Linked DNA regions of Diceros bicornis minor. The protein of the gene in region 1 interacts with the protein of each later gene in a biochemical or structural test. Links are inferred from orthologs where the notes say so. Each region holds a gene or a part of one and is shown in the gene's direction. Other genes may lie near its edges. The genes, in order: FGF2 and fibroblast growth factor-binding protein 1-like.

Evidence for each region.
Region 2: the proteins of FGF2 (region 1) and fibroblast growth factor-binding protein 1-like form a complex in vitro, tested with the Homo sapiens proteins (2 studies listed by BioGRID and IntAct, with this or other methods). The link is inferred for Diceros bicornis minor from reciprocal best matches to the Homo sapiens genes FGF2 and FGFBP1.

What each region holds. Positions count from the first base shown.
Region 1 is NC_080750.1:15,949,915-15,962,006, forward strand, and holds the start of FGF2 (fibroblast growth factor 2), read left to right. Parts: upstream 1-7,385; coding exon 7,386-7,485; intron 7,486-12,092. UniProt on the Homo sapiens protein: Acts as a ligand for FGFR1, FGFR2, FGFR3 and FGFR4. Also acts as an integrin ligand which is required for FGF2 signaling. Binds to integrin ITGAV:ITGB3.
Region 2 is NC_080747.1:12,401,467-12,413,668, reverse strand, and holds fibroblast growth factor-binding protein 1-like, read left to right. Parts: upstream 1-6,688; 5' UTR 6,689-6,719; intron 6,720-8,418; 5' UTR 8,419-8,437; coding exon 8,438-9,217; 3' UTR 9,218-9,557; downstream 9,558-12,202.

The sequences.
Region 1 (12,092 bases):
ACGCTATTCCAACATGTATCTTAAAGTTCACTATTCATCTAATAAACATTTTTGACTGTTATTGTGTGCTAGGAGCTAGAATCACAAAGATAGAGAGGGAGCAAGTACACAGTGACATCTGTGCTGACATAGTCATATGCAGATAATGCTGTGGAATAAGTAAACAAGAAACACTCCCTTGGAAGTGGAAAGGGTAGAGAGAGAAAGAGGCCACAGCATGTGCAAAGCCATGGAAGTGAGTGTACCTTCTAGAAACTGCAAATCTGTCTGGGGCTGGGGATTGAATGTAGGAGGGAAGACTGGCGAGGAGGAGCCCAGAGAGGCTGGCAGGGGCTGGGCTGTTTGCCCCGGGTACAGGTCTTTGTGTTTCAACCCGGAAGCACTAGGCGGCTGGAATGATTTTAAGCAGAGAAGTGGATCAAGGTAGGGAAAGCTGGAGCCAAGGGGGCGTATGGGGTAACCATAATGCCTGGCTCATGGCTAGTGCTCAGTGAATGTCCGTCATGCTTTTATTCGTGGATGAGTAGTGCCCCATCCCCATGTCGACCTCCACAAATTTAAAAGTCCTTAAGTGTGGAAGAGTAAGATGATGTCTGCATAAGGTAGAAACTGGTTTGGCTAGACCACTTTCACTGTTTACATTCCACATGTTCAAATATCCTCCTAATAAAAATGGGCCCATTTAGTTTGCTGTTTACTTAGAGCAGAAGTAGCGCTCTATCTGACCGGAGTGGGCAGAACCCTTGCTTAGGTTCTGAACACAGGATGTGTTTACAGGTCCTTTTTGGTTACTCAGAGCCTCTGTTATTCTATTTATAATCCAGGTCCTTTGCTTTTCTTTTTATTCCTTCTGATGTCCAATGTTTTACCTTTTAAGGACTCTTCACATTCACAGGTGTTGGGGAGAATGAATGAAGAAAGTAAGTTAATTTTTAAAAACATTTTTGGAGTAGGAATTTTCACCAAAGCTTTCCCTAAATTCTATGTGCTTCCCTAAAGACTTTAATATCAGTATTTATGCACTTCTGGGCATCAGGTTCTTTTGTAGAGAAAATATATCCATTCCACCCAAATTTTGTTTATATCTAAAATTATTTACATAGCAGTGAAATTAAATTCCCAGTATTGCTGGTTTATTTTTCTCACTCTTTTTTTCTTTGTGGACAGTTAACAATGACCAGAAAAAAAGAGAACTCATTAATTTTGTCTTAAATATTTTAATAACTTGAAACAATTTATGCCAAAGTATCTACATTTTCTCTAAAGTATGAGTTAAAGTTTCAGATATTGGCTGTATCTTTGCTTCTGAGCCAACCCAGGCTATCTTTCCAAAGCACAGGTTTTTCATCTATTGAGATGCATTTATTGATGGTACAGATGAACTTGTAAAGATTGATTAGGAGCATGGATGTCACATAATTGAAGTGTTGATTCCATGTTCTTATTACTAAAGATGAGATTTGGGATATGGTGGGGAGTAGAGATTCACCTTATGCTATATATATTTTTAAGTTTATAAAGTTAAAACAGTGTGATACTGGTATTAGACAATCAAATAGATCAATTATCGAACAGACCAATGGTGCAGAAAAATAGCTTGACAATAGACCTTATTTTATTACAAATATCTAACATGATGAAGCATTAAAATTCAACAGAAATTGGATATCCATATGCCAAAAAATGAGCTTTGATCTGTACCTTACACCTTATACAGAAATTAACTTAAAATGGATCATAGACCTAAATGTAAAACATAAAACTAAAAAACCTTTTGAAGAAAACATAGGATAAATCCTTGTGCCCTTGGGTTGTGCAAAGAATTCTTAGATATGACATGAAAAATGTGATCCATAAAAAAAAATTGATAAATTGGACTTCAAAACTAAAAGGATTTGTTCTGAAAAAGACACTGTTAAGATAATGAGAAGACAAGTCACAGACTGGGAGAAAATATTTGTAAATCACATATTTGTGCTCAGAATATGTGAATAACTCTCAAAACTCAATTAATTAATTGTAGTGATGATTACACAACTCTTTGACTATACTAAAAACCACTGAATTATACACTTTAAGTGGTGAATTGCATGGTTTGGAAGTTTTATCTCAATAAAGCTGTTATTAAGAAGTGGAGAGAGAGTTTGACTACCAAGGGGTGGCAAGAGGGAATTCTTTTTTTTTTAGAGAGAACTCTTTTCTTTTTAGGATGATGGAACTTGATTCTGGTAGTGGTTACACAATTCTATACATTTGTCAGAACTCATAGAGTTACGCATCAAAAAGAGTGAATTATACTGTATGTAAATTTAACAATAAATTTTAAAAACTTTCAAAAGGTCAATGGAGAAGTTAAGGTTTAAGAAATAAATGAGGGGCCAGCCTGGTGGTGTAGTGGTTAACTGCACGTGCTCTGCTGTGGTGGCCTGGGGTTCGGATCCCTAGCGTGTACCAGCGCACCGCTTGTCAAGCCATGCTGTGGTGGCGTCCCATATAAAGTGGAGGAAGGTGAGCACGGATGTTAGCCCAGGGCCAGTCTTCCTCAGCAAAAAAAAGAGGAGGATTGGCGACAGATGTTAACTCAGGGCTAATCTTCCTCACTAATTAATTAATTAATTAATTTAAAAAAAGGGCCGGCCCGGTGGCGTAGTGGTTGGGTGCACACACTCCGCTGCGGTGGCCCAGGGATCACGGGTTCGGATCCCAGGCACGCACTGACACACCACTTGTCGGGCCATGCTGTGGCAGCATCCCATATAAAGTGGACGAAGATGGGCAGGGATGTTAGCCCAGGGCCAGTCTTCCTCAGCAAAGAGAGGAGGATTGGCAACAGATGTTAGCTCAGGGCTAATCTCACCAAAAAAAAAGAAACTTCATTAGCTAGTTAGGAAAAAATAGTTGAGGCTGACCTTTAACCACCTACCAAAACAAATTCTGGGAGGATTGAAGAATTAAATATTTTTTGTCATAGAAAAAAAAAAAACAGATATTGCTCAAGCCTTTGGAGTAGGGAGAACTTTTTAAATTAGAAAAGATGAAGGAAGTGCTGAATGAAAGATTTATGGATCTAGCTATGTAAAAATGTAGAAATCCAGATTTCAGAAAGCCCCCAAAGTAAACAAACTGGGAAAACATATATTCAACAAATACAACAAGAAAGTGTCTTTACTATATAAAGAACTCATACAAATCAATCTAGAAATCACATAAACCTAAATTGATAAAGCATATAATTCCTATTTAATTTTGCAGTTATTGTTTTCATTTTCCTCTACTGTGGCTGTCATTGTGTTCCCTACACTTTGAAGAAGATCAAAGGAGGAAAAAGGCAATCCTCTTTCTTGTACTTCAGAAAATGTGTCAGATCTTCACCCCACCTTAACTACAGAATTATGGGTTTTTTTGTTTGTTTAATTCTTTTTTTTTTTTTAAAGAAATTCTTTTTTGGGAAGGGAATGATTGGCCCTGAGCTAACATCTGTTGCCAATCTTCCTCTCTTTTTTTTTTCCCTCCCCAAAGCTCCAGTACGTAGTTGTATATTCTAGTTGTAAGTCCTTCTAGTTCTTCTATGTGAGCTGCTGCCACAACATGGCTACTGACAGATGAGTGTTGTGGTTCCGCACCCGGGAACTGAACCCCCGCTGCTGAAGTGGAGCGTGCCGCACTTGAACCACTAGGCCGTCAGCTCTGGCTCTGTACCACTATACCTCAGTACCGTCTATGCACCGGACACTCATCCTCAGTGCCTAATTTGCACCAGCCACTACACTTATGTGCCTTCCATGGACCAGCCACTGTACCTCAGTACTTACTATGCACCATCCATTATACTGCTGTGCCTACTATGCATTAGCCACTGTACCTCAGTACCTATTATGCACCAGGAGCCATACTTCAGGGCCTTCCCTGCGCCAGCCAATTCTTTATGACAAGCTCTTTTGATTTCATTACTGACCTGTGTCAAGCACACAATAGGCAAGGCCACGGCCAAGCCCTGCCAGTTTGGGCCAGTGAAGACACAACGAGCCCTTTTTAGCTTTAGATGGTTTATTACTTACATGGACAACTAAAGGAAGAGTAGCTAAAGATGCCAGTTCCCCGTGGTCCTGGCTCCACAGACCAAAAAGGATGACATGCAACAAAAGGGCCAGATGATTGCAGAGCGAGTTGCAGTACACTCTGTGGCCAAGCAGGGAGTTCCGGGTTGCAACTAAATGGTTTTATAGCCTGACGTTCTGTCTAAGGTGGGCGAGGCAGAATGCCTCACACCTCATCAGAACCTGGGAGGCGATGAGAAACTGTCTTATGTCAGTCTCCCTGACAGACAGGGAAGCGAGTGAGACATGTCCTGGTAGCAACTCCTCACAAGCCTCCGTGCTGTGGTGTTCCAGGAAGACCGCAAGGAGGATCTGCCAAGACTTAGGACAGGCTACAGTCCAAACCTGGCCTATCTGGATATGTGCGGGGTCACGAGGGTGCCGTGGCAGAGCCGTCCCCCTACAACTTGCTGGTTACCTCCCTGATCTGCAGAAGTCACTCATCTCCTCTCATCTGCAATGAGACTTGCTCCATTTGTCCCCTTTCCTGTTTGTGAAATAAAGCTGTGTGATCCATCTGCATAGAATTTACTCACTGCCTGTTCTCCTTAGTTCACTACTTTTTTCCAAATTATCTAATATTTTCCACTATGCTACTAAGAATAAGAAGGAAAAGTATGAGTATATTCTGTATTGTATATTTCCGTGTAATAAACCACCCCAAAACTTAGCAGCTTAAACCAACAACCACTTACTATTTCTCATGATTCTGTGTGTTGGGTGGGTGCTCCTCTGCTGGTTTTGCCTGGGCATACAGCTGGGATCAGCTGGGCTAGAAGGTCCAAGATAGCCTCAGGCACGTATCTGGCAGTTGGATCTGGCTATCTCTTGGGGCAATTAGTTCTCCATTGGCCTCTCATCCTCGGTAAGCTAGACTGGCTGCCTTACATGTCCCTCTTGGGCAGCATTCCCAGAGACCCAAGGCAGAAGCTTAAGATCTAGTTTGGAAGTCACGCAACTTCACTTCTACCACATTCTTTTTGTCAAAGCAAGTGATGAGAACAGCCGAGATTCAAGGGGTGGGGAATAGATTCCTCCTCTTGATAGGATGAGTTGCAAAAAAAGCGCATGCCCGTGTTTTTCAATCTACATCAATACAAAAAGACTAGACTAACTTCCATCGAGTGAATAGGTTCATTGAAGCCCAAACAAAATATGACTTGACTTTTCATTCAGGTAAGTTAGAATGCCAATAGACTAAACATCTCCAGTTCTGGTCACTGCAATAAAATTACCGTAACACTAACAGGTCAAGGATGGAAACTACTAAAAGTTGTCATAGGCCCAGAAAATATTTGCAAGAGGAAGTAGTGATATTAAGTCTTATTTCTGCAGGCAAGGTGACCTGACAAGGATGGTTTCCAAACCTCAGAGAGTTATGCCTATTTGATTCCGAGTTTCTTTAGTTAATAATAGAATGGAGAACATCCAAAGATTTTGTTAGTTAAGGGGAATTTGCAAGTTAACTGTTTTAAGTAACTATTGGTTGGCCAACATTCACTGACAGGAGTTTGCATTTTTACCATCTACCTTGCATAACTGATGAAAGTGAAATGAGGTAATTAATGTAATGTGTGTAGTGTAATACCTGGCTCACTTTGCCTTAAAAAAATATAGTTGCTACTGTTATTGTATTCAAAGCTTCACCAAGAATTTACATTGTTTAATGGTAAGTAGACATTCTATTTGGTACTTTCTTAATATATTTTTGTGGTCAAAGTGGGTGCTCGATAAACTTGCTTTAAAAACTTTTCAAGCTGAAATTATCATTGCCATATTCTATGGGGTAAAAATTTGGAACCTCCATTTTCTATTTGTTCATATGTTGGAAATTGACCTAGCACAAATGCAACAGTCAGCTATTGCTGTGTAACAAAAAAACCACAAAAGAATCTCAGTGGCATTTAACAAAAGCATTTATTTTGCTCATGGATCTGTGAAGTGGCTAGAGACATTTTGCCTCTGACTGCAACACCTGGTTCTGCCTCATGCTACAAGTCGCAGATAGGTAGAAACAGCTCTGCTCAAAATGTGTTTATTCTGAGGCCCAGACTGAAGGGGCAGCAGCTACCTAAAGTAAGTTTATCTCATGGCAATGGCATAGGCACAAGAGAACAAGCAAAAATATGAAGGATCTCTGAAGGTCTAGGTTCAGAACTGACGTACTGTCACTTCCACCCAAGCCAATGGAATAGCCAAGTTCACCTTTAGTAGGAGGAACTACTAAGTCACAGGGAAAACTCCAAGTAACAATAAGAGGTGAAGAATTGAAGCCAATAATGCAATCTACCACAATATTGTTTAAGGACTCTTGGCCTGCTGGCAGACAGTCCCTAATCCTACCTCCGTAAAGAGACATGTCTCCTGGTTAGGCTTCTCATACTTTCTCAATAGGACACAAATCTCTTGGTTGGCTGACTGTTGAAGCTCATGATTCTATCTTTAAATAATAACGTGGGATGTCTGCCTTGTCAAAAGTTCAGAAATAATAGAAGTAAAACCAGCGAATCACTGAAGTAGTAATTAGTAAAAGTTTATTGTATACACAACAAAAAGACAGTCTGCAAACGAGGAACATTCAAACAAAAACATGAACTGAGGCTCAGGGGTGTAGTGTTATAAAGCAGTTTATATAGTGAGAAGTAGTGACTATTTATCTTCACAGTGATTGGTTATAATATTAGCATCTTCAGTGCTTACTTCATATCAACCTTGGGAAACAGTTCAAGTTTTGCTTGTAATTTCCAGAGGCATAAGCAAGAAATGACCCGGGGCAAGTTAGTCTTGCAAAATAAGCTAAATTAGGCTTCGCTTGTATGATTAAACTGGTTTTGTCTGCTCAGGGAATTTTCAAGGATGATCTCCATTTGTTTTTGATTTTAACAATTCCCCCCTTTTGGTCATTCTCTCAGCAGGCTGAGAGAATGACCAACTAGTTTAGCGTTATTCTTGGTTATGACCATTGACGTAGTCAGGCCAGAGAATCACATATTCACTGTTTCCGCTAGTTGAGTCGTCAGGCCGGAGGGCCATGTAGTCACTGTCTTTGTCATTTATGTGGTTATTATTATTATTATTATTATTTTTGCTGAGGAAGATTTGCCCTGAGCTAACATCTGTTGCCAATCTTTCTGTTTTGTTTTTTTTTTTGGCTTGAGGAAGACTAGCCCTTAGCTAACATCTGTGCCAATCCTCCTCCATTTTGTAAGTGGGTCACTGCCACAGCATGGCTGATGAGTGGTGTAGGTCCGCGCCCAGGATCCAAACCCACCAACCTGGGCTGCCAAAATGGAGCGCTCCGAACTCAATCACTATGCCACAGAGCTGGCCCCATATGTGGTTATTGCTTTCACCCTGTTGTCTGATCCTGATGGGTACCATTTGGCGTGTGAGTGGCTGCTGACAGACATTTAAAACCCTTGAGAGTATACGACGTACTAGAGGGTTAATATGACTACTATAAGGAGAACAATAGCCAAGGACTGAAAAATTCCTGAAGCAGAGATTTCTAGGAGCCAAGATTTAAACAACTAAATAAATCACATGAGTTTTGATTTTTTTAAGTTATTTACATGAACATAACATGATGTATTAGCAAACACATATCCTCATGATTACTTAGGACAAGATGAATGTGAGGATGTTTTATTTCAGGAAGTGGTGATACAGGTGAGCTTTCATTTCAATTAGGTCTCTATATGATGTGAGCAATCAGGTAATTTAGTGAGAGGCATTTCTGTGGAAACAAAAGAAAAACAAAGGTTAATAGTTGGAGCAAATTATAAACTCAGTTTCTGAGTTTGGAAAGCAGCCAGTTGAAAAGATTTCTAAATGTCAGTGTCTAAGCCTCTTCAGGTGGAGCAAGGCAAGCAGTGTCAATCTGACAGATTTTCCTGGTTTGCAGGGTGAATGTCTCTGGCCATCTTTCTGAGTGGCCGCATAGCAACAGGCACGAAGATTGTCCACACACAAGTGATGATTTCTCTGAAGTTTATATCAATATGTCCAGCTATAGCTGGCATGGCTTCTGGAAAAGGGCAGTTTTAGTTTCATAGTGATTCCAGGTTGAAAGAATGGGAGAAAATTGGAAATTTTAGTTTGGAAATTTCTAGCCAAATACTGGAGGGAACTAGAAGAATTCAGGATCCAGTCCAGGTTACAGGTAGAAAAGAAAACCTCAAAGACAATTAACAGTACTAGAATCTGATATCCACCAAGATGTATTTCTGAAATATAATTTTTCTCCTTATGATCATTCCCATTTCTATCAAAGATAACCATAGTAAGACTAATTTGTTTGCAAATTAATTCTAGTTTGAATAAACTTGGCTGATTATTTACATAAGTGCAGCAAGAATAGTGATTGACTATATAGGCTCCTTTGAATTTGCTTTGCTGGAACTTTTCATAAGGAATCTCAGAGTGGACTATCAAAAGCCTCTTGAGGCTAGGAAGCCAAGCCAAGGACTTGTCCAATTGTGTCCTGTTACAAGGAGAATAGATTCTTATTGAACTTATGCAAATACATATATTTTCATGAAAAATAAGAATATTTAATAAGAGTTTCTAAATTCTGGAGGAATCAGGTAGGAAGAAAAAGATAAATGCTTCAACTTTTGTTGCAAAGAAACACTTTACCAAGTTGCCCTGAGTTATAGATAGCTTAAAAGACAGGAGAAAAAGGGATGCTTTAAATCTGGAAAACAAAACATTACAGAATCAGCAATGTTTTAAATGAACTCATAAAAATCATAATCATCTTCATCAGTTGATTTAGTCTCCTGTAATTAATTCTTGTTTTGCTTCATCTTGGGTTAGCAACTTTATGAGTCAATCAGTTTCCCATTAGAATTCTATAAATTCTTATCCAGTTCAGTTATCAGAAGCCTGCATTTTAGAGTACTTGTCAGGATCTTTTCCATGAATCTCTTTGAAGATGAAATGCACTTCACAAGAAGATTTTTGCAAAAACATCAGAGTAAAACAATAACTGTCAGTAAATGACAAAAGACTTAAAAATGACCATGGTTAAAGATCTTGTGGGAGTTCCTTATAATGTGGTTGACAAGGAAATTTGGTTATTTCTCTGACATACACTTGAAAACAATAACTAGAATAGTGACTGATAACATTATACCAGGACATATCAGATTTTTAGGAATTTCATATAATTTCTTTAACACTTATATTAATAACATATTTATACAAATATAAACTAAAGAAAGTTTAGCATCACTTCTTATTTGACAAAGCTTCCCATGTAATTTAGCATATCAAATAAGCACAATTAGTTTAATATTTTTCTTTTATGAGGAGAGAAAACAAATCTTTTGAGATGTTCCAGGGGCCTTCTGTAAAATCCCAAAGTTAGTTCAAGATCAAAAAGACTTCATTCAGAATTTGATTTGAGGAAGTTTGTTAAAAATGTCAAAAAATTTAAAACATTTGATCAAATAGGATTATAGGTCACTGTGAAACAATACTTAGTTATCCCTTCAACTAAAGTGACAAAAGATTTCAGAGGCAAATATAGAAAGTTATATAGTTGTAAAAAACCTTAGCTCTTTTAATAGAGAAGACGATTTTTCTAATTAATCAAAGCATGATGAAGAAAACATGAAACACAGGAAATATTTTTATAAGACACAGAATCTTTGTTTCTTCAGCAGATTATATTAAAGGTAAAGGAAAACCTTTGTTTATAGTTTCTTTTTTATTTTGTTTTGTGAGGAGATCAGCCCTGTGCTAACATCTGCCAATCTTCCTCTTTTTTTGCTGATGGGCTAACATCCGTGCCCATCTTCCTCTACTTTATATGGGACGCCACCACAGCATGGCTTGGCAGGCGGTGCGTCAGTTCATGCCCGGGATCTGAACTGGCAAACCCCGGGCCGCCGCAGCAGCGGAGTACGCGCACTTAACCACTTGCGCCACCAGGCCGGCCCCAATATAGTTTCTTATTAAGAGCAGACCAATAACCTAAGAAAACTTTGTCCTTTGAACGGAAAAAAAACCAAATTCTAATTTTGCACCAGTGTACTTTTGATATTAAAACTCTCTTTTTTTCTTTCTTTTTAACTTAAATAAATCCATTCCAATCCTAGTCAACTTGACCACATATAAAATTCCTTTCTCAGGAGTTTTTTTCCACAAGAAACCTTCTACAACTTTCTATATCCATTTAGGTTTTGTCCTATCTTTTTCCTTTCTTATTCTGGAGCAATCATTTTATTTTAGGACAAAATTACTTTCTTTTTTCCTTTTTACATACACACACAAAAAACAAAACAAAAAAAAACCATGTCCTGCATACTTTTCCTTATCCAGAAAATACATTCTATTTTCCTTGCCTACTTTTCATATACAGTCATTTTCCTTCACCCTTATTATTTCTAGTAGTTTTTTTTTTTTTACATATTGACTATAAATTTTAACTACTTGTAATCTTTCCAGTGAAAACTGGGAAGTAGGCAACTGTAATCTTTCTATCATATATTAGCATCCTATAGTAGATTGGCAATTTATAAATACATTTCATAATTTCTAGAAGTGTATTTTTTTATCATAGTAAACTTTTCAATGTGGCACAAAACGTGCGTATTAGTAGACACAAATATCTTTTGTTTCTCTGTAAAAAAATTTAAAAGCCAAAATTAGATAAACTTATTGTTTAGCATTTAATATTTACCTTATTTGAAAACGATTTTGATATTCAATGAATACCCATTGTTTAGTTTAACTTAGTATAAACTTTTACCTTATTTACATTTATTTAAATTACTTGCTTTTAACAATTATGCTTGGGTTAGACATTAAACAGCTAACCATCATCTTAAGTTATTTTTGTTGTTGATAGAATTTGGAGACATGCCTGCTTCTATTAAACCAACAAACTTAAAATAGCTTTTATTTATCAAAGATTATCCCAGATCATGTGAACATAAAAACATTTGGGCTAGTTTCTGTATTTCTGAGAGTATACTTGATTTATACAAATGCTTAGTTTTCTTTAAGCCAATTAAATAGACCTCTTTACAAATTAACTTTGGCAATACCATCCAGAGGTAGAAAAATATCACATATCTGTAACATACATACAGAGACATACATAAACATACAGATAGAAACAAACAGAGATCTTATAGCTTTTGTTTAAAAAATTTTAGCCATGTCTCAGGTACAAAACTCAAAAGAATTGTTGAATCCAAATTGTGTTTCTGGCAGATGGACTAAGTTAAGGTTACCTGCTCAGATGGTCAAAGAGTTTTTTACTAAAGATTTTTTATTTGCATGCTGTAATGATTCTTTTAGAGCTTTATTTTTGGAGTCATTTTGTCTTTTAGAAGGTTGTGGATACCAATCAAAGAATGCATTCTCTTGTCTCTGAGAGGTTTGGGAATCCTCTCTTTTAAGTGTGCCCCTGAAAGTGGACTTATCTAAGTTAAAGTCTCCCAAAAGTGGCCACTATAATTCCAAAAATTCATCAATTTTCCAAAAAGGCACAAGATCTTGGTCCATAGACCAGGTGGAACCCATCTTTGCTTTAGATTCCCTAACACATCTTAACTATGAGGGTTCCTGTTTTCCAACGGCTGTTCCAAAACATAGAGAATCATGTGTTTTTCCCCTTTTGAAGAGAATAGGATGACTTACCAAGAAGCTTCAACAAACAAAGTACAAGTATGCACAATAAAGTTAGAGAGCTCAACATGCAAAGAAAGTGAAGTTTGGATCCGAGAAAGACTTACCCTCAAATTCCAGGGTCAGTGAAAAAGCAGTGAGCTCAGTGGGTTCTGTGGGTACCAGCACTTGTTTGCTCACTGGCCTCAGAGTCATTGGTGAGGAGTCTTCTTTGGATCCCACTTCTGACACCATGAAATGTCAAAAGTTCAGAAATAACATAAGTAAAACCAGTGAATCACTGAAGTAGTAATTAGTAAAAATTTATTGTACACACACCAAAAAGACAGTTTGCAAACCACAAGCACTCAAACC
Region 2 (12,202 bases), on another chromosome or scaffold:
GCTAAGTATTTTCTAAGCTTCATGCTTGAGCTCTGGGCTAGAGACATCACTCCCCATAATGAGGATGGTGGCAAGCACATGAACGAACCACAGCAAGCTGACAAGTCACCTATAATAATGGTGAAGTGTGTAAAGATTTGTGAGGACACAGATGAGGAATAATGAATTCTGTTGTGGACAGCGGGAGTCAGGTAGAAGGAGAAATTACCAGGTAGATAAGGGTAGAATGGAATTTTAGGTAAAGGTGAGTTTGGCAGAGGCAATGTCTCCTGAAATGTGGGGGGAAGAGTAGACGGCCAGATGTAGCTGGAGCCCAAGGACATGTGTGTAGGGTGTGGCGGGTATTGACCTTGAAATGGCAGATCAAGAAGGGAAAGTCCTCATATGTCAGATTCAGAAATTTGAGCCTCATTCTCTAAGCAGATGAAAAATGATAAGACGCTTGAGGCTAGGAAGTGAGGAGATGTCACCACTACAGCAATCATCAGACAGTGAGCCATAGACTGTGCGGACCAGTGTTGAGGGCAAAAGCCAAATCATATTCACCTTTGCATTCCCTACGATGACTAACACTGCAGTTTGCATAGAGTGGTTACTGAATAATGATTGAATAAATACTGTTCTTTTACCTCTAGCTGTTGAGTTGTCTCTTACCTAGTTGCAGGAACCTGAGAAATTCTCTCTGCCACTGACTAAGTTAGATGTCTCCACCCTGAGTACCCAGGCTTCCCTCCAACATAGTAATTACTCGTATATGGTCATGATAGGTATCCTTGCCTTTCTCCCTATTATCTGCCATCTCTTTGAGAGCAAGGACTATGTTGCCCTGACTGCATTCTAGTCAATGACAGAAAGCCTGGGATATTAGGTGCTTCATGAGCGCTCTTTGGATGAATGGAAGAATGAATGAATGACAGACTGAGTGGTAGAATATTGTTTGTTTGTTTTGTGAGTAAGATCAGCCCTGAGCTAACATCCATGCCAATCCTCCTCTTTTTTTGCTGAGGAAGACTGGCCTTAGGCTAACATCCGTGCCCACTTCCTCCGCAGCATGGCCTGACAAGCGGTGCATCGGTGCACGCCCGGGATCTGAACCCGGGCCGCCAGCAGTGGAGCATGTGCACTTAACCGCTACACCACGGGGCCGGCCCCCTGAGTGGCAGAATGAATGAGGTCAGGTTAGAGGCTAGCCCTGTTCTTCCTAGAGCCGTCCAGTATTTTATTCCTCTGCCATCTCTATCTTCCCCTAAACAGCCCACAGCATGTGAGAGTGCTCTGCTCTCTGAATGTGGGAGCCATTTTCCCAGGTGCCTTTACAGGCTTTTCAGAGCTGTTTTCTGATGCCTTTCATCTAAACGTCTTCACCTGCTGGACAGCAGCTGCGATTCATATGCCCACGTGCATGGTGACTGGCAGCATTATCGCAGAGAAAGGGCAGCTTGTCTTCTCCCTTTTCCAGCTTCCCAGGGTGGCAACTGGCACTCTTTGTAACAAACATACAGTGGAGATGGAAAATTCCAAAGGCAGCCTCCCTAGGACTTCCTTCTGCCACAAGATACGGAGAGGTCAGTTGTACACCCATATGTGATGCTTTATCCAAAAGGAGCAGACTTCTTTAAAGGATGTCTAAGATGTTTTACAGTGATTTATTAAAAAGAACATACATGAGGACCCAGAGGTGATCAATGAACTTACCTTGTGTGGAGAGTTTGTTATAAAATAAACCAAAAAAAATTTTAAAAGAACATATAAGGCTTTGAAACAAGCCTTATTAGAGAAAAAAATCCTAACTATTATTATACGTTGATCTATTCAGAATTGCTGATATTCTACCATTTTTACCTACCAAATTACCACAAACAATAATTTCATTTAGTTTAATTTAATTAAACTCTGTGAGTTACTTTTTAGGTGGATTCAGAATCAGAACCAAGTAGTGCACACGGCTACAAACAAAATGTGTTCAATATTATGGGGTATGACACAGGGCGTTCCTTAAATAAACATAAATAGATTTTCAGGTTGCATTCACACCAAATGCTGTACCATCAACTCCTCTCTGTCTCTTATTTTTTGGAAGTAAAACTTGAGCACTGTGCATCATTTGATTTGCTATACAAGGATTCTGAAATCCCATGACTAGTGAGCATTTTAAATTTGGAATGTCAACACTCCTCAGAAGATCTAAGATGACTACTTTCTGCCACCTCATTAGATTCTAGCTGATGTTTGTTTGACCAATTTCCTCATTTTCTGACAATGAATAAGTTGTTAATGCACATCATTTGGTCCAAGAAATTAATATCAATTTGATGCAGCAACTCAGGATTTTGTCTGTACATGAGGTCACTTTTGAAGGAGGGGCTGATTTTTGACCAAGTGTGGCCTGGCAAAATGCACAGTTAAGACTCCCCTCAGAACAAAGTTGCATCCACTAATATAATCTCTGATGGCTGCACCCCCAGATGGGAACCCTCTAGGTCAAGGAACCATACGGTAGTAACACACATGAGAATAAAATCAGCTTTTGAACTTGAAATCTCCTGCCAGTGACCAGACTGCATGAGACATGCATTCAACTACCAGCCTTAACCTGTGGTGGTGACCACATGTGTTCAGACTTCCTATGGAACTCCCAAAAGGAAACCTGCTCTCCATCATGTAAATCTCTGATGAAGAGAAGAATGACATAACTCCAGTCTAATCAGGAGTAAAGGACTAGACAAATCCCAAAAGGAACACATCCTCAAAACACCTGACCAGTATACCTGAAAACCTCAAGGTCATCAAAAACAAGGAACATCTGAGAAACTGTCACAGCCAGGAGGAGCCTCAGGCATCATGACTACTAAATGTCGTGTGGAATCTTGGATGGGATGCTGGACAGAAAAGACCATTAGGGGTTGAAAACTTATGTCCACACCAAAACCTGCACATGGATGTTTATAGCAGCTTTATTGATAATTGCCAAAACATTGGAGCAAATGAGATGTCCTCCAGGAGGTGAGTGGATAAATACTCTGTACATCCAGACAATGGAATACTATTAAATGCTAAAAGGAAATGAGTTATCAAGCCATAAAAAGACATGGGAGAACTTTAAAATTGTATTATTGAGTGAAAGAAGCCAATCTGAAAAGAATAAATTCAGATTCCAACTATATGGCATTGGGAAGGCAAAACTATGGAGACAGTAGACAAAGATTGGAGATATCCAGGGATTAGGCAGGAGGGGGGGATGAATAGGTGCAGCTCAGAGGATTTTTAAGGCAGTGAAAGTACTCTGTATGATACCATCGTAGTAGAAACATGTCATTATACATTTGTCAAAACCCATAGATTGTCCAATATCAAGAGTGAACAATTATGGAAACTATGGACTTTGGGTAATTATGATGTGTCAAAGAAGGTTCATTAACTGTAATGATTGGACCATTCTGGTGGAGGATATTGATACTGCAGGCAGCTTTGTAAATGAGGGACATGGTATATAGTGGAATGCTCTGTACTTTCTGCTCAATTTTGCTGGGAACCAAAAACTGCTCTTAAAAATAAAGTCTATTAATGATTAAGAATAGAACGTAGGTAAAAAGTATGGAGGGCTGAACAAACTATGGACTTTACCTTGTAATACTATATCAATATTGCTGCAATAGTTTACAAATGCAGCATTATGATGTAAAAGGTTAACAACAGAGGAAGCTGAGTGAGGTGTGGGGCAGGAGAACTATCTTTCCAAATATTTTGTAAAGCTAATACTATTCTAATATTTAAAACATATATATTAAAGAATGATGGGGTAAGAAGGGAAAGAGAGAGCTTACAATTTATCAAAGTATGAGTAGGTTTACTTTGTTTTTAATAATAATATTAGAAGTGGCCTCCATTTAATTCTTCTCTAATTGTGTGTCAGGTGTGTGCTTAGGCCATATAAACCTCAGCTCCACATGTGCACCAAGAGGATCCAGGGGGACCTTTCCTCCTGGGATTGTTGTGAAAAAGAGTGATGAGCCTTTACATAGTCAGTTCTCCAGGAGTCAGGGATCCCCTTGGTCCTGAGAGTTTGAGGAGGCAATGGGAACCTGCTGAGAACAGTCTTGCTGGAGCTCCAAACCCTCTCTGGTTTCCCCCGTGTACTGTAGAGGTATATCATTTTCTCAGTATATCGAGATGTGAATTAATGAGGGAACACAGCCTTAGCACAATGCTGGCACATTGTAAACACTCACTGGGGTGATGGTCTATTTCTCTCCATGAATATCCAAGAAAGGGTGGGGAGCACAGGGAAGGAGCAGAGGACCAATGACACCAACAGAGAGGAGACAACATCTGAGCTGGGTCTTGAAGGATGAGCTGGTGTGTGCCTGGCAAAGTAAGACTGGAAGGGCATTCCAAGTAAGGGGAACAGCAGGAGCAGAGGCAGGAAGAAAGCAAGTGCACGAGTATTCAAGAAATGTTGGGTGAGTGGTTTACTTTGGCCAGATTACTCTGTGTGTGTGTGTGCGTGTGTGTGTGTGCGTGTCTGGAAATGAGTTTGGAATGACAGGCTGAGTCAATAAGGAAAGGGCTACACAGCCTGGTCTAATAGTATGCCCCCTGTTTGAAACAGAAAGATCAAGGCAGAAGTTGGGATGGGATCACAGGAAGGCTGAAGGTCCATGGAACCCAGTTGGGCAGTTCCATGTTCCCTGCCAAGCTTAGAGACACTTCTTAGAGAAAAGCTTAGAGAAAAGATCGTGGAGTTGACCTGTTTCCTTCTAAATTTGCTTTGCGTTCTGACCTACATCCTTCCTCCAGAAAGAATCTGGCTGCCTTCTGAGGATCAAGATAAATTTCTCATGTTTTCAGAGTCCACCTTGATCTCTATCTGCCTGTGGAACAAGAAGCTTTATCTTGCCTCTGTCCAAATAATCCCCTAAATACCACGTTGTGAGTGCCTGTGTGTGGAGGTCACAGCTTCTATGGGCTGGTGGTCGGGACAATGGGGATAGTCCTTAACTGGTCAGTTTTAAAAGAGGCTTAGAGTTTGGGGAAATGGCCTCCTGCAATGGAACTCATGAAGAGACCCTTTGAAACACCGAGTGACCCAGTCGACATCCATAGCTCTGGGACCTTGGAATTCACAAACTGGTGGACCTTGAATGGACTCCAAACACAGTAACAACTTTTGGTATCTTTATTGTGGGCCAGGGCAGTGTTTTTAAAAATTTCAGTTAGATGCCAGCCCAGTTTCATATTTACACATCTGGATGTTGAGACAACACTTAAAAGTTCATGAAGTCTCTATTTTTGTTAAAAAAATGTATATATGAATAAAAATCATAAAGTCTGACAATAATGACCCCCATGTCAACTTGTTCTCAGTCAATTGGAGCTGAGTGTTGACTTTTAGACATCAGGAACTACCCAGATTGCTGCAGTCCCCAGTGCTCCCTTTTGTCCCTGTTGCAAAGGCAAGGGTCAGTTGCCTTTTAGTATCACTTTGTGCTATTGTTTTCCGTAGAGCTGAGTTAAGAAGAAAATAACAATTTCTTGTGCCCAAATATAATGAAGAGTGAGGTGACAAAATATAATGAGGTCCACATGTTCTTTGTGGAAGTGAATCTCTTTCTATATGCTGAATATGAAAACAAAATATGCCTGTTTTTAAAGACCACATTATGAACTAAATCCAATAAGCTCTACTTTAGGTTAATAGTTCAGCCACCTCAATAGTTTAGTATGAAACCCTAAATGAGGTTCTATTGTTGTCAGCAATCTGTAGAGGAACAAGTGGAGGTTCAGAGGGGTAAAGCTCACACCCCTAAACCAATGCTGTATCCAGGCTTCCACCAGCTCATTCTGGTACCAGACTCTGTCTATAGAAGGCTGACCAGAGTGAGGTCCCCGCAAGTGACCTGAAGGTGAGTATTTTCAGCAGAAACGCCCAGATCAGGAGCTTCCTCTTTGCCAGCCTCTCAGAGCCCCAGGATTCCTCTGCCTACACAGGAACTTTAGGTGCCTCAGTGAAAACAGGGACACAGAGACTAAGACGGCTTCCCCAGCTTCAGTTGCTCACTCACCAAATGTGTCTTGAGAGTGGCAGGTAGGAGGAGATGAGATGATGGATGCAGGGAGGCCCGGGTTTAAACTCTGGGCTCCTCCTCTTCCCAGCAGGGTGACCTTGGATAAGCCCTGAATATCTCCAAGCTCCAATTTTCCTTCTGTACAATGCGGAGAATCATAGCTTCCCACATCACGGAGGGGATGTGATGAGAATGAAGGGAGAGCTTTAGGATACGTAGGCCTAGCACAGTGTTTGGCAACTATGATTATTTCTTATGCTTGTTATTACTCCTCTACTATGGATATTGCTGCTGGGGTCCTCATCCCATCAGGGAGGGTCTTTGCAAGGCTGAGCTGTCCTCCTATCCAGGCCACTGGAGGAAAAGAAGGCCTTGCAGGAAGTAAGTCTAATGCCATGCATGTACACCACCCCCCCACACACACACACAGGATTACATCAACCACTTTTCCTGCAAGAAATGCTCCTTCCAAAAGGGGTGTGGCTGAGAGGAGTGTGAAAAAAGCTCCACAGCTATGTGTGTTGTAAAAACCCTGTCTGCCTGGGCTCCTATAAAAAGGGCCTTCCCTGCCTCACACTGCAAATGAGACAGCTGCAAGCCTGCGAGCTCACTCTGGCATCTGGGATTGCACTGGATCTGCACCCTCAGGACAAGGTAAGAGCCTGGCTCTCTTAAGGGTGTAATTCCACCGCCCTTTGCCAGCTCCTTGAGGACCTCATGTTCCTGGGGTCTGGATTCCATCAGGGACATGTTGAGGCTGAGTCCCAACACCCTGAGGACCGAGTGGGTCTCTGTCTGGTATACCCAGCCTTTGTCCCACCCCTCACTTCGGGATCCCACATACCTTTCACTGTCTTCCCTTTCTCTATCCTAAGGGGAGGCCATATGCCCGGGGTGGAAATGAGATCCAGGCAATTTTCTGGGCCTGCTGGTTTGCAGACAAAATTCTGTGTTTTCTTTTAAAATGGAGCACTGATAATATGAATCATCTTATCATGAACTACACCAAACCAAACCCTGAGTAGTTCGTAGTTTTCTTATTAGCAGTCAATTTTTTCTGAAAAGTAAAGATAAAGGCATAATCCATCAGTAAGTGTTGGTCTACAGGACCAGAGAGATAAGTTCTGGCTGTCTGTCCCAGCTTTGTCACCTGCCCACTATGGGATCTCGAGCAATTTATTTACTGGTCTGAGTTTTAACTGTCATATCTGTTACCTGGGGGTGACTTACTCTTACCTACCAGGTAGGGCTCTTGAGTGGATTAAACAAGATGAGACTCAAATGCTGGTGGAGGACATAGCACATAGCAGATGTTGAATAGAAATCCTATTTCTCTTCTCCTTCCCAGCGTGTTTCTTTTTATCCCCCCCCCCCCCCGGTGAAATTCATGCAGTTTAGTGTAGCATTTTAGGTCATCCTGTTTCTTCAATAATATATTTTTAAAAGCACTGACTGAGGGCTTTCCATATGCCCAGCACTGTGTCACAACAGGACTCCAGAAATCAATTAGACACGATCCTTCCCTTCAAGCCTGCAGTCTAAATGCTCTGGTGGAAATTCACCCCTATCCCCCAGTTCACTTTGCCCAGTCAAATTGAATGACCTCCACTCCCTCATGCCTTTCCTTAGACTCTTACTGCATCCCAAATGCCCCCTCACCAACCCACCCATCTCAGAGTGTCCCACCCCATGCATGTTTAACCTGGGGTCAGACATCGCCTTTCACGTCACTTACCATGTCCTTTCTCCTCGTGTTGTGATCTGAGTCCATGTGGAACTGTGAGTTAGAAATCCAGCACACTGGAGCTAGAGGACAGTTTGCAATTATCTCATCCAACACCTTGATTTCCAGATATAGGAAGTGAGATGCAGAGGAGGAGAGTGACTTGCCCAGTATCTAGTTATAGACACAGTTGGGACAGACTTCTGGTTAATGCTGTTTAAATTCCCCCAAAGAATTGCCTCTAAGCTCTTTAAGACATGACTTACTCATTCGCCTTGAAAAAGTCCACTTCTAATCCAAAGCATAGCCTATAGTAGGTGCTCCATAAATGCTTATTGAATGACAGATGAAAGAGTGGGAAAATACAAGTTTAAATGAGTGAGTGAGAGTTAATGAGGCTGAGAGTGATGAAGGAATGAATGAAGAGTAGGAAATTTTGGACATTCAAGACTCCAGTCAATCAGAAATGTGAACAGATGGGCTGCTTGTCTAGTGATTCTACCAGCCAGAAGTATTCTTGATCTCACTGCCAGCAGGCTGGCATGTGTCCAGGTGGAGGGAGGGTCAGCCTGAAGCCTTGCCCTGCTGAACTGCTGCCCGGCACTGACTCACCTGCCTTTTGTCAAACAGGTTCCACTAAGCTGAAGCCATGAGGTTCCACAGCCTCATCCTGTTGCCCTTCCTCCTTCTGGTTGCTCAGGTGCTCTTGTTGGAGGGGAAAAAGGAAGCAAAGAACCAACATGTCAGCAAAGCCACCACAGATAAACTGCACACTCTGGGCAAGCCCCAGATTGAGCAGAGAAGCCAGCAGACCAAACGGCTTACCAAAGGCAAGTTTGTCACCAAAGACCATGCCGACTGCAGTTGGGTGGTGACTGAGCTGGGGGAGGGCATCGCCCTGAAGGTCGAGTGTACCCGACAGGACAACAAGTTTTCCTGTGTCTTTACCGGCAATCCAAGCTCGTGCCTAGAGTCGAACAACAAGAACGTCTATTGGAAACAAATTGGCCGGAGTTTGCGCTCTCAGAAGGCCATCTGTGGGGACTCCAGGAGTGTCCTGAAGACCAAGGTGTGTAGAAAGAAGTTTCCAGAATCCAATCTCAAGCTAGTGAGCTCCACTTTGATTGGGAGCAAGAGACCCAGCCAGGAGTACATGGAGCCCTCTCCCAGCAAGCAGAGCAAGGTCACTGAGGCGTCCCTCACGGAGCCTAACAAGGTCAACCAGGTTTCCTCCAGGGAGCAGCTCAAGGTCAAAGAGAACACCCTTACCAGCCTGGGGGAGACCCTACCCACGACCACCAAAAATACCGAGTGTGTGGATGACCCAGAATTAGTAAACCAGAGGAAGTCAGCCCTGGACTACTGCGGAGAGTCCTGGAGCTCTTTCTGCATGTTCTTCCTCAGCATGATACAGAGCAACACATGCTAACGAGGTCAAAACAGAACAGAGTCCACCAGGAGTTGTCACATCAAAGCTCTTCAATATGCTGTAAAGTTCTCCAAGTAAGATGAACATTTGTGCTATGAGAGTGCAGTGGAATATTTAAACAGATTTTGTAATTTTTGTTTTCGTGTTTTGGAATTTGCTTTATATTCACGTGATTTTCAGAGGTTGTTCACCAAAGTGTATGTTTCCATGGCCCACTGAGCTATATGCATATGAGCAGTGAGGACCAGTATTCGAGCTGAATGAGCCAGAGTGATTTCAGTGTGATGCACTTTCTGCTGAATTATCAAAGATAATAAAGCTCTGGTAGTCTTTCAGAAATATGTTCAACCGTTGTTTGGTTTCTCTATGTCTAGTTCCAATGATCTCATAAACGAGCCCCAAAACATCAGTGGAAAAAATAGGGAACAACTTCTTGTTCTTCACCCATCCCAAGTGATCTCCAAAAGTGACCCATTGCAGAATCTTTCTACTTTCATCCAATGTTCTGTGGTATTTGATGTTTACTGAACTGTAATAACTAGGATCCCTGATTTCAAGAGGGACACCTGGGGCGTGGTGTGATTAAGACTTTTGTCCGGATCTCACAGATGGTAAGAGGGGAGGCAGATTTGAACTCAGTAGGTCTGCAAGCCAAGTCCTAAGACTAGAGGCATGCCATTCACTGACTCAAGTCAGTGCCCATTACCACCCCCCGCCCCATGCAGGAATCCCGAGCTTGAGGAGCTCATTTCTGCCCTGGGGGAGAAGAGCCTGGGTAAGTACAGCGCCCTGTGATGAAGACTCTAATGGAAGGGGGAAAAGGCAGCATGGAAAACCAGCCAGAAGAGGTAGAAACTGCTAGAAGATCCCAGATTGAGCTTCCTAGAGGAGATGATACTGGAGCTGGATTTTGGACAGAGTATCTTTAGGTAGGAAATGGGGCAGAATGGGGCACTTTAGGCAGATGACAGCATGTGTAAAAACAAAGAAATGAGGAAATCCTAGAAGATGGAGGAGACCACGTGGCTGGAATGTGGTTGGCTGCAAGGATGACACTGCTATTAGTCATTTCCACGTTAGTATGAAGGATCTGAAATTGTTTTAGCTCAAGAGTTAGGGAGAGAGGATGATGTGTCCCCAGTGCCTTATCACAATTCCACTAAGAGCACAAAGTGCAGAGCAGGAGTTGGTAAAAGCACTGTTCTTCAGAGTCTCTGTCAGTGGCAGTGAGGAATGGCAGATGGGGTGGAAGGGTGGCATTTTACACTCACCAACATACCAGGACCTACCCTGAGGGTTGTCAGTGGCCAATCCAGAGTGTGGCAGGCTCAGAGTGACATTTGGCTGTCATCATCAATACCATCAATACTAACATTTATCTCCCACTTGTTATGTGCCAGGCACTGTGCTAAGCTCTTTCCATGGAGTATGCATGCATTCATTCATTCACTTCTTCATTCAACACATAATATTGGGCATAGACTCTGCCAGACTCTGTTCTAGGGGCTGGAGATACAGGAGGATGCTCTGCCCCATGGCACTACCAGAGAGGAAAGCGATGATAAACTCACAAGTATACAAGAGATAGAGAGGAAGAGTAAAGGAGGGGAAGTGGGTAGAAGTGATGGAGGATAACCAGTCTTAGATGAGATGGTCAGGGGAGGCCTCTCTGTGGAGGTGACTTTTGAGGCTAGACCTAATTGAAGTGAGGACTCAAGCCAGGTGACTCTCTGGGTTAAGCATATTCCAAACAGAGTGAACAGTCAACGCAAATTGCCTGAAATTAATTAATTAGTTTATTTATTACCTACTATGAGCTCCTACTATGTACCAGACACTGTTCTGGGGATAGAAAAGGGCAGCAAAAACTAAAAAAAAAAAAAAATCCCTCTCTTCCTGGTGCTTCTATTCCAATGACTGGATGCTGCTTGGTGTGTTCAGAAATATCAAAGACTGCAGCGTCTTTGTAGGACAGGGCCCAGGATCTGACTCGTGAACCTTACCCCCACTCCTAATTGAACCAACATCCCAGACCCTCCCCAACCCCCTCCTAGCCACACCTGGGGAAGGACATTTTCCCTTAAGGTCTACACAGATTGTCAGCCTTGTGACTCCTCTCCCCGACTCATACATCTCAATTCAATGTAGTCCTAAGATAGGAAAACACTGTTAAACACTTCCGGGAGTCATTAAATAATAACCTTAGTCTGGTCAGGGTGATGTAAACATTGGAGAACCGACTAGGCCAGACCCGAAGCCCTCTTAAGATCCCTTCCAGCCCAGGAAGGTGATGGATCTTCTGCTCACTCATGGCCTGTGGCCACTGGCAGAACTCAGAGGACACTTATTTCCAACATGACAGAGTCAACTGGACCTGGACTAGAGGTTTGCCTCTGCTGCTTCCCAACCAAGGTCTCTGGCTCAATTATTTAACCCGTCTGAGCACCAGTGACTCATCTCAACAATGGGGACAATGAAACCATCTGTAAAGGTTCTTGTAAGACTGACAGCGGTTGAGAAATCTAAAGCTCCTAGTGCCCCTCGGTGTCCGTAGCAGGTGTTCCACACAAGTGACCATCCAAAGTCCACAGCACAAGACTGGTTGTGGAGGGAGGTCAAAAATTCCTTTGGTAAACTCTTTAAATGTGAGAGGTTTTTTTCTTAGTGCAAAAGGCAATGGGAATCACCTAGTATGGGCCTGTGGCTTTGCCCCATTCTCTAATTCAATCCCCTGACACCCCTGTGTGTTATCACCCTCATTTTCTACATGAGGAAACTGAAGCTCAGAGAAGCTGAGCAGCTTGCCAGAGTCAGAAACATGAAGTGGCCGAGTCTGTAAGTCAGACACCCAGGTCGGGCAGTCCCCAAGTCCTTTCTGCCCCTCAACCATTCCCACATTTACATCTCCAGCCAGATCTCTCTCTGACCGCCAGCTGCTCACTCAGCATCGCCACTTGGATATCAAAAAGGTATCTTAAACATCAC